Drosophila melanogaster: one gene and its partners. The protein of the gene in region 2 interacts with the protein of the main gene of each other region in a pairwise test. Each region holds a gene or a part of one and is shown on either strand. Other genes may lie near its edges. The genes, in order: aspr, slou and CG31740.

Region 1 (3,757 bases), on a different chromosome or scaffold from region 2:
GCGGCCAGTTGGGGCAAGGACGCGATGGCCACCGCCACCAGGGCCACGACCAGGAGCTGCTGCTGCAAGAGAAGGATCAGCTGCGATTAGTGCTGCTATCACTTGAATTTAAATTCAATACGATACCGATCTAAGATGAATATAATATTTGAATATATTTGAATACTAACTTGAAGTAACTCCAAATGGAGTGCATTCACTAGTTCTCATTAGTAACGAAACTAAATAAAAGACAACGGTAATACAAAGATAAATGTCATATTCTGCGTCAATCGTAGAGCCAGTCGAATGAAATGAGTTTGAACTGGATTGGGATTCATTCACTAAAGTATTCGATATGAACAAACATCTCAATCGAGAAGCGAGTATCACGCCCCCTTTGCCGGTTTATGTGTCATAATCGCATTCGAGTTCTGAAAAAGCCCAATAAACATGACTAACTCGATGATCCGCTGTTTGGTAGCAAACATTGGCTTGGACTTGGACTCTCAGTGGTCAGTGGGATTCTGGTGGCACCATGTTTGGGCTAACTGGGCATGGAGATGAGACGAGACGAGACGAGACGATCGAGATGATGATATGGCTTCGCTCTCAAGGTGGCGATCATTGTTGGCGAATGACACATGGGTGATAAACTTGTTGTCCGCTTCTTTGGAAGCTCAATTCGGGCTAAAAACAATTATTCAAATATCGGCATACAATAAGAATATGCAAATGGGGGTCGGCTGCCTTTTCGAATTACTCTGAATGACCAATATGGTAGTCCATGTTCGTATCAACTAAGTTGTCGATCATCGCGTAAATGGCACGGATGGATCCACCGAGGGAGGAAATTGGATTTTTTTCTTAAATCACACATCTTGCAGGGTGATTTATAATCTGATTACATTGCGCAAGGGAAGTGAAGTGAATCAGAGCCATATTTGTTATATTATATATGTACATACATATGTACATTTAAATAATTGCTTTTGGAAGGGCGAGAACTAAATAGTCAACTATATAATCTGTTCAATCTTGAATTAGTTAAATAAAACGTAAAACCTGTCAGAGTTTAGATTAAATTAATGCTTTCTAAATTTAAATAATGAGCAAGAAAATGTTAAGTGCTCAACATAAGTAGGTAAAAAGGTAAACAATTCAAATCTATTGGACTTTTTACTCTTCTCGTAATGGCAATTAAAATAACAAGCTATGCTAAAGTGCTAGAAACTAATTGGTTTGTGTTTTTGGCTTTGTGCACAAACAAATGAATAATGGGCTTGATGTTTACTTGGGCAGCTTAAAAAGCGTTGAGTGATTGATCATCGCCAAAAAAAACAAAAAAATGGGCAGATAAAAGGCAGATCGAAGACACTCAAAAGAATAAACCGATCGTGGGCTTCAGAAACATTACGAGTATGTGGGAATATTTCTTGGTTCATTCGATGTATTTGCAAATCCATTCACCACTATTCATCTAGCCGGAAGTAAATAGCAAATAGCAAAGTTAAGTCCTTACATTGTGAAATGAATATTTTTTTTGTCGTGTTTGCTTTAAGTACATCAATATTCCATTCACGTATCATTTACTGAATGCATATTTTATGTATTGCCTTTGTGCGTAATTTTTTCACTTAAGTTTTCGCGGTGAAGAAAATAAACAGCAAATAAATGTGCAAGTTTAAATCTATATACTTATTCGTGATTCAGATTCTTTCCTTAAATCGAACCCATTTTTATTACTTTTATAAAATTGTTTATAAATTATCCATCGTTGATAGATTGCTTCAGTTTAGATGATTTAAAAAAAAAAAAGGATATATTCCTTAACACACGTTTATATATACATATTGATTTTGGTTATTCCCACTGCAACTCACCATTTTCGGGGTTCAGTTCTTAGAAAACACTAGCACTACAGCAGATAAAGAACGTAAAATAAAAAACAAAACAAAAAGTGTCAACTGATAAATGGTTGCGATTTCCCACTTGGCACGCTTCGCTTTCAACTGAGTCGGCTTCTAGACGAGCTTGGGCTATTTATAAGGCCGCAACTCTTAACTTGGCCGAGAAACAGCTGAGCGACGTTGGCGTCATCTCTCAGCTGCTCTGCTCTGCTCTGATCTGCTCACCTTCCCTTCCCGAATTCCCCTCTACCCCGCATCCACAACCCTTCCACTTACACAGAGAAAAAACTATAGTATAGCTTGATATTAAAGATTTGTAAAGTAAATTATCTCTCCTCAGGTAGTAGCATCCAATAGTTGTTGTAATTTTAACAAAATAAAGATCGGAATTTACCAAATTCATTAGTTTTATAACTAATTTACCATTATGTCTGCATAAGTTCAACTTGCTAAACTAGAAACATTTCGAGTAACGAAAGCAGTAGATCAAATTGATGAAGTAGTTAATTTAGTTATATATATTTGTTCAGCCTGTCAGTTGGAAAACTATTTTTCCCAATGCACCAGCATTCTGTCTCATAACTCTGTTTGACAAGCTTGTTTTGCTGTTTGTTGACTTTGTATATTGTGCTGCTCGATTTTAGCTAAAATCATTTCAGTCCAAATCGCTTCTCAGACTGAGTCATTCGTACACACATACATATACATATATATACATATATTTGCCTGGGCATCGGGCTATTTATATACGCGTACTTGACGCGACTTTGCTTCGGATTGTTTTGGTCATGCCTTTGCTATGATGGCTCGATTTCTGCGTGGGCCGCTGCATCCAAGTGCCGTGGGTCGAACTTGGCTGGGCTTCCTACTAAACACGGCTCCGGATCGTAGGCAACTTGGCTGTGAACGAAGAAATTGCCCACTTGACACAATGGGCAGGTCGCTAGTACTAGGCGGTACCTGGTAATATATGTACACACATATTTCTGAAAGCATCCAAAACTAAGCGACTCTTTATCTTTGTAGGATTTAAAAGACAGTTATGTCATTTAAATTTACAAATCTATTATACTATAATTTATACCGATTCTTCAAACAGAATGTATCTTATCCGCACCGGATGCCTATTACTACTAACTGGGGGAAATATTCAATATGGTCATTTCGCTAAGGTTTTTTCTTCTTTCTATTTCTTCTTAATTGGGCATAAGATATATGTAGATAATCGCATTACAAAATTTAATTAATTTCACGAATTTACATATTTTTCAATCTGAAATATGTCGGAAATTGAGGAGAACAAAAAATCGCCCATTTCCGTTCAAATAGTAAGCGAAAAGAGAATATACATAAATGAAAGAAAATAAAATTTGAAAAAAAAAAAAAACTGAGAGGCCGTAAATATTCTTGATTAGCTTGAGGTATTCCGATTCACTCATACCACACAATAAGCCAATTGGGTATTTCATTGAACATCTTCACTAACTCACTCTACCGTTTCCTAAGTCCATTTCAATGGCATTCGAGTTTAAAATATAAGCTTAGCAAGACCGGCTCCACTTTCATTCGATATCAAAAAGAACGGATTAAGAACAAACGAATCTGCACTGGAATCGAGCCAATTAAAACGAGAATCTTGACTTCTGCTGGCTGCGTGGGCATTGGTTAGAATGAATAATAGAGATGGTTTGACCTATAGCAATAAGATAATGACCATTTGCCAATTTGCAATCGACTACCATTTTCAAATGAAATGGCATCATTGAATGGCATCGCTTAAGCTCCGCAAATCGAATCGATATGGGAATATTACAGATTAAACTGCAAATTGAAACGTACGCCAATTGGCCATAATTGAATGAGAATTC
Region 2 (3,757 bases):
GTACCTTAGTTGTCCTAGGTGATATAATTTAGTTAAACTAAAATATAAAAAATATATTTGGAAAAGTATACCAATTATAAATAAAAATCTATAGATATAAATCAAATTCCTCAACATACCACACGCTTAAAAACAAAATGAAAATCTCAAAATCGAGCTATAAACATACAAAAAGGTTAATTTTGGCATATTTTCTCGACCAAGTGTTAATTGGGTTAATTACTCGAACGCAAAATCTAATAAAAAAGCTAATTGAGCAGAACATAAAATCAATTTGTATTAGCCAACGCTAATAAAAGCTACCAATTGTGTGGGCAATAAATATCAACATTAATAATAAATTTGCTATTTAAGTTTTCAAATTTTCACTAACAGCCTTCATTTTAGAACCAGTATTTTAATAAATCCATTTTGTATAATTGGCACACCTTAATATTAAAATCACAAAACATTTAATCTAAACTTTTTCTATATGATTTTACGAAATCCTTGCACTTAGTGCACTGAAATCTAGTTATCTTACCGACGGCGTGCTGTGCGATCCATCGTTGCTGTCCTCGTCGTTGCCATCGACGTTGAGCTCCTCGCTGGTGTCGCTCCTCGCGTATGTGGCTGCTGCAATTTGACGCGAGGTGGCCGCCGCAGCAGCTGCCGCCGCCGCCAGGCCACCCAGCTGTATTCGGAATCCGTAGTCGCTCAAGTCGCGTCCACTGGGCGATCCGGAGCTGGAGTTGGAGATGGAGATGCTGGCATTGGACACGGAGTTCGAGGCGGACGCCAAGGCGGAGGTGCTGGAAGCTTGAGTGGTGCGGGCTGCCACCGCAGCCACCAGCTTAATCCGCTCGAGATCCATGTCCGATGGTGCGGCAACCTGCTGCTGTTGTGGTGGCTGCGAGGAATGTGGCGGATTTTGGGGGGGAGCGATGGGTGGACTCATCTGCTGGTCGGAATGCATGGCCGGGGATGTGGGCGGCGACAGGGGCGAGGTGGCCGGCGAGGGTGGGGCAGTGCTGCTGCTGCTGGGAGCCCTCAAATGAAAGACCGCCGACGGATGCGGATGGGGATGCGGATGAGGGTGTGGATGCGGATGCTGATGCGAATGCGGATGTGCGGGATGCTGGTGATGCTGATGCTGATGATGGTGCATGTGCTGCTGGGCGGCGGCCAGGAACTGCGGATTCTGCAGCAAGTGGGGATGCTGCTGCAGCAGGGCCGCATGAGGATGCTGCAGTGGCTCCGGCCTTGCCAAGTGGCGCACAGCATTCAGTTCCAGGAGCTTTCGCTGCTGGGCTGGCGAGGAGAAGCTTACGGATCCCACCGATGCTGGAGGGGATTGCGAGCGACGTGTATTGCTGTTTGCATTGTGATTAGTTAGACTGTTATTGTTGTTGTGATTGGGCTTCTCCTTATCCTGGGAGTCCTCCTGCAAGGGGCTCAAGCGGCTGAGCAAGCTGCCCGATTCACTGCTCATCTGCTTGAGCCGTTCGAGGGAGTACCTCAGCTCCTGCTCCTGTTTTCCCGCCACCGCTGCGCCATTGGCGCTGATGATGAACTTGGGTATCTTGGCCGCTGGCGGAGTGCTGCCACCGCCTGTGCCGGACACCACACTGTCCGCACTCGCCACATCCGGCGAGGTGTTGGACTTGGGCGAGTCCGGGTTCGAGTTGGGACTCATCAGGCCACCGACGGCTGTGTTTTGGGCTGACGCACTATCGCTGGCCTTTTGCGCCGGCGATTGCAACATGACCATTTTTGGGTCTTTGGATATATTGTCTTGGATTCACTGGGCGTTCACTGAGAGTTCGAGTTCACTGAGTGTTCACTGCGCGTTGCGTGTCTTGTCACCTTGAGGGCAGCCAATCGACTGAATCCGGAGATGCCAATATCCGACGTGGACGCTGCCTATGCTGCCGCTGCTGCCGTCGTCGTCCGACGTCCGATTATCCTGGTCGTAATCCGCGCGCGACGACTCACACGCTCAAGAGCCAGAAGCGTAATGATGAGGGTTGTTTCCGATTTCTCCGAGTTCTTAATCCAACAGATGTGCCGTGTTGTGTGCCTGTGGCAAGTCAATAGCTAAATGCTGATGCTGCTGCTGCTGCTGCTTCTGCTTCTGGTGGTAGTGCTGGTTATGGTGGTGGTGGTGGTGGTGGTGGAGGCAGTTATCGTGGTATGGTGGTGGTTTTTGCTTTGAGTGACTCTCTGTGCGGCGCTCTACACGCCCACCGCTGAGTGGTTCTTTGAGTGGATTGGCTCCTCCCCGCCGTGGCTCTAATCTCTACTAGCATCTAATGATTTAATTTGCCTTCCACTCGTTAGCAAATGTAATGGTCTGTCGCAAGTCTAAGCCACAGAGCGGCAGGATGCGAGCGCGTGAGAAGAGGAGAGGAGAGGAGAGGAGAGGATTCCGGAGTGCTGTTTTACATAGTTCTTCACTCAACTGTAATAGCCACCCGATGGAAACAAAGGCCAGCCATACAGCCACGCAGCTAGCCAGCCAGCTGTCCAGCCATCCGTGCAGCCTTCGCCTCCCGAGGATGTGAGTAATTGTCAAATTATTTAGCGCAAAATTTGTTTGTTTATGCGGTTGGGTGCTTGCGAAATGGATCTCAACTTTTTGCACATTTCTCTCAGTTCTTGTTTTTATTTATTTGTACTATATGTTTTTCTGTTTCATATTTTCGCCAGTTGTGTGTTGAGTTTGCTTTGCTTTTGGCATGCCTGGTTTGTTCTTAGTCATTTATGCATGAATGCTTTGTGCTTTCTTCAGCTTAATTGAATTTTTGAATATTTTCGTGGCCGTAATTATGTTGCTAATTAGTTGGTTTATTTACTTTTCGCTTTTGATTTCTTTCTCTTTTATTATTCGAACGAAAAAAAAACACATCCTTGTGGTTTTTCTCCTTGACACTTCCTATGTAAAACTCAAAGCGTTCGAGGGGGACAGCCACACTATAGCCGTGCTCTTCTGCTCGCACTCTCTCTCTCTCTCTTTCGTCGGGCTTCTTTCTCTCTTACTCCTGCGCCTGCTCGCTCTCGGAAAATTCTTTAAAATTGAACAAAAATTTATATGCGCTTTGGCACAGACGATTTAATATCGCATCCAATTTGCGGTTTATACGCATCGCAGCAGTGGCCTTCAGTGGGGCGGGCTGGGTGGTCGAGGGGTGAATGAATGGATAGCTGGATGCCTGGTTCACTGGGGATAGGCCACTCGGCTCTGGGGGTTTTTCTTCTGATTCGTTTTTGGTTGTGGGGACAATGGGGCGTATAAGTGACATCGTTAAATGGACACCGGGCGCTGCTTAATGAACTCCAACGCTGGAATGTTGGGTGTTAGCTACTGCTTCTATATATCCACTGGCTTCACTTCGCCGCTCGTTAGCAAGGCTCGTCTTCTTCCTTCTATAATTAACCGCAGATCGGGGTGGCGAAGGGAACTCGGATGCTTAATGAGCAGCTTGTTATGCCGTTTTTCGTTTTAATTAGTTTTAAGATGCTGGCCACCAACACCAGAGCGTCGGGCACTCATTTTAATTGGCCCATTGATGGCGGAATCTCGTATATACTATACTCCGCACTCAGCGCATTATCACACTCGGTTGCTCATCCACGACAGTGGGACATCATCCTTTGGCTGGGCCCGTTTCTCGCTGTGTAATAAGTGCTTAACTCTTTACATGCAAAATTAAATGATGCGCATACGCACGGTAAAACCGCAAATTATTTTAATTGCTTGTCTCGTCATTATTCATTA
Region 3 (3,399 bases), on a different chromosome or scaffold from region 2:
AAGCAATGAAAATTCCGACCTACCGCAATAAATTCCGCGGAAAAACAAAGCAAGTGATGCCAAAATAAGAGTGAAATGGCCAGCTCACACACACACATGAATGTAAATGAAGTGGAATCACCACCTCAGAAAAACTCAGGGACACCTCAGACACGGCCCTGTAAATCGCGCTTATCCAAAACACAACATGGCATCAGGAGGCATTGGAGATTCAGTTTCATTTTCATTCAAAGATTGAATAATAGAAGGGGGTGTTCCATCCCTACCCCAACAACCTTTGACCTGACACAATGCTCTACATTCTATGTTTTTGTTCGAGTTGCGCGTTCGAATCGCGACTGCGCAATAAACCTGATGCCCCAAACAGCTGTTCTAGGCAAGACCTAGGACAACATTTGCATCCTTAACTGGAGGCTGGCCATCCACGTTTACATTGACGTAATCCACTTGCCAGGTTGGATCTATTCGGTGTTGAGATATATCACAAAGCAGTTCCTTTTGTACTTTAATTCATTTTATTACTGAACAGCTTATAATAAAAATTCTTTATGTATACGAGAGCTTAGTTGGTTTAGCCCCGGCCAAGGCAAAAAGGAATTCGAACAGCAACATATTTCTCCAGCAGTCTTTTCCAGAAGGTTGATCTTTAAATTGACTTGTTACCGCTTGCTGCCGTATTAATGCCTATGATAGCGGGCGCTTCACCAGCCGCAAGGACACGAGCTGCAGCCACCACAAGGACCACATGGACCACAGCAAGGACTACAGCAACCTCCACAGGGACCACATCCGCAATAGGGAGTTCCTCCCATCAAAGGAGCCAGGCAGCCGGGTGGGCAGGGTCCAACGTAGAAGGGATCGAAGCTGCAGCAAAGCATCAGAACCATCTTGAAAGTTTGGATTTGGTAAAGGACACTGGAATCTCTTCTAAAATCTGCAGGAGGGGCTCAAAAGGTACGGCTGCAACCATTCAAAACGGGGTTTGTTATTAACAAAACATTACCAAATATTTAAAAATTACTATAGGGAACAAAGCAATTTTACAATTTTTAAATTGTATAACTTTTTTATTCAATTTTAACGAACTAGAACGTACCTGGGATTTTTTTTCCTGCTGAAGAAATACGTTGAAGTTAATCCTTGGCTACGAATTTAGAATTTTTGTTCAATTTTTCATATTGTTTTTTTTTGTGTTTTATTTTACGAAAGAGATGTGTTCAGTCCAAGCTGTTCAAAATGAATGAGCTCTCTAGGTTTCGAATCCCACAAAGCCCACAAGATGAGTGAAGTTTATTTCCAAGGCCAACTAGAGAAAACTAAAAATTTCCTTTTTTTTGCTTTCTATTCGACATAGTTGCTGACTAGATCCTACTCCTCTTCGGTTAATTCTGCCGCTGGCGGTGTTTCAGGTTTTACTACTACCGGTTCCGAGTCCTTTTTATCCTTTTCGTCTTCCTTGGAGGAGCCCTCGGAATTATGTTCACTGCCAAACTTAGGAAGCAATGGTCCTACAAAGGCACATGCCTTGCCTCCAATACTTTGTACCACGGAGCAGGCGCCATCCATGCGATCGCCCTCTACTAGAGGAGTTTCGCCCTCGACGGCGGACAGCTGATCCGCCACTGGACCACCGCGCCTCACAAGGTCAGCGATCGGATCACGGGTTTGGTTTAACACCCTGCCACCCACTTCAGTTAACGAACGGGAAACTACCATAAACAGGGCCACTATGCCCGCAACTCCGATGGCCGTGTGAACCATTTCCATATCTTGGGCAAAGGAGCAGGATCTTCTGGAGGATCAGGAGGGTCGATGTCGGATTTTTCGATCGACCACGATGACAAATAATTCTAGGGCTACTCTCCAGCCATCGCCGAGATGGTATTATAGGTCGAACGGGCCAAGTTTCGGATACTTCGCGAAATTTCATTTATCAGGTAGTTAATGTCATCCGAACTGACCACCTGCTCCTGGTCGACATGGTGCTCCGGCGTTGAATCGTTTACAATCAAGACTATTTTACGAACGGGCTGAATCATGCCGGATACATCGATCACGGGCTCCGACACATGGTGATCAACCAGAAATGCCTGATGCATGATGATCACCAATTGGCGGATTACTGGCACCACGCGATCGAGGACGTTGATTGCCATTGGGGCCAGTACGTGGTGTACCACGTGATCCACAGACGAGGACATGACCAAGAGACTTGAATTTTGAATTTAGAAAACTATTTTCACACAATTTGCGACCTGATAAACTAAAATTCCCAGGAGTTCTAATTTGAAATCTAAGCCATTTCGATTGGAATATTTATATTATTTCCCCAGCAATATTCAACAGTTTGGTGACGATGAATCAATTTTATTATTTCTCTACATAGATGTGTGCGAGGCTAATTGGTGTGCAGTTTCAAAGTTCAACTATATTTGTTCCCGCCGTTATTCTTGCATTTTATACAGGTACTCGTCTCGTCAATAGCTGCTATAGCAACGACTGTGCCAGCCACCGGGGGTGTATCCTTTGTAAATGTCGAAGTTGCACGGACATACTGCGCATCTCGGATAGGGGCCAATGTAGAAAGGGTTTATGGCCGGAGTCCAAGGACGACTTAAGTAAACCATTTTCAGCACTCGAAAGAAGTCTGCAAATCTTATTTTATAAATACATCTCCCACATTTTCTCTTTCGAAACTCACCGGAAATGGAAGAGAAAAATGAGAAATTTAAACAAATGTTTGACCAGAACAACACGTTTCGTGCTTGAAATTTGAATGAAGAAAATGCGTATGTACGCTTATGTGTTATTTTGTTGACATTTAAATCAAGAATGCTGGTTTAAATTTATTTGACTTCATTTTAGATAGATCATAAGAAAATGAATTAATTTTATCTGTATTTTTTATCCACAGTTATTTTGTGCTAAAATAGAAAAGAGCTGGTAATTTGAGGTTAATATATATTATTATTGTTTTTATTATTTATAGATATTCATTTTATTTATTTATTATTATTATTAATTTTTTTGAAATATAATGTTACAATATGACGGTTCGATGCCCAGGAGATGATGAGCTAAATGGGTTTAGCTCAAGATGTTTGAAGATATTAGCAACACACAACAAGGTTGTGTGTTCAGCACATCTCCAAAGGACTCCTGGTTCATTTTTGCAGCTTTGCCTTTTTCCCCACTACTTCTGTTCCCGGAGCTTCGGTTCTTTTTGGGCTTTCTGGTCCAGTGGTTGCTTCGCCGCGTCCTTGTTGGATTGTGGGGCGGGATTGCATCGGGGTAGTTGGGACTCCGGGCAAACTCCGCACTCCGGAACCGTGCAGTGGCCCTCCTCCAAGCAATCGGGGTCACAGCAGGGCGGATCGGGTCCAATGTAGCCCGGATTAA

What was found.
Region 1: the proteins of slou (region 2) and aspr interact in a two-hybrid assay, tested with the Drosophila melanogaster proteins (one large-scale study listed by BioGRID).
Region 3: the proteins of slou (region 2) and CG31740 interact in a two-hybrid assay, tested with the Drosophila melanogaster proteins (one large-scale study listed by BioGRID).

Annotation. Positions count from the first base shown.
Region 1 is NC_004354.4:20,146,367-20,150,123, reverse strand, and holds the start of aspr (asperous), read right to left. Parts: upstream 2,001-3,757; 5' UTR 1,866-2,000; coding exon 1,863-1,865; intron 63-1,862; coding exon 1-62.
Region 2 is NT_033777.3:21,555,109-21,558,865, forward strand, and holds the start of slou (slouch), read right to left. Parts: upstream 2,075-3,757; 5' UTR 1,751-2,074; coding exon 524-1,750; intron 1-523. UniProt on the Drosophila melanogaster protein: May play a role in specifying the identity of particular somatic muscles and neurons of the CNS.
Region 3 is NT_033779.5:18,006,796-18,010,194, reverse strand, and holds CG31740 (uncharacterized protein), read right to left. Parts: upstream 1,243-3,399; 5' UTR 1,097-1,242; intron 961-1,096; 5' UTR 888-960; coding exon 702-887; 3' UTR 501-701; downstream 1-500. Other genes in the region: CG42635 (uncharacterized protein), read right to left, coding at 1,369-1,767; CG42634 (uncharacterized protein), read right to left, coding at 1,857-2,201; CG42659 (uncharacterized protein), read right to left, coding at 2,478-2,627; CG5693 (uncharacterized protein), read right to left, coding at 3,194-3,399.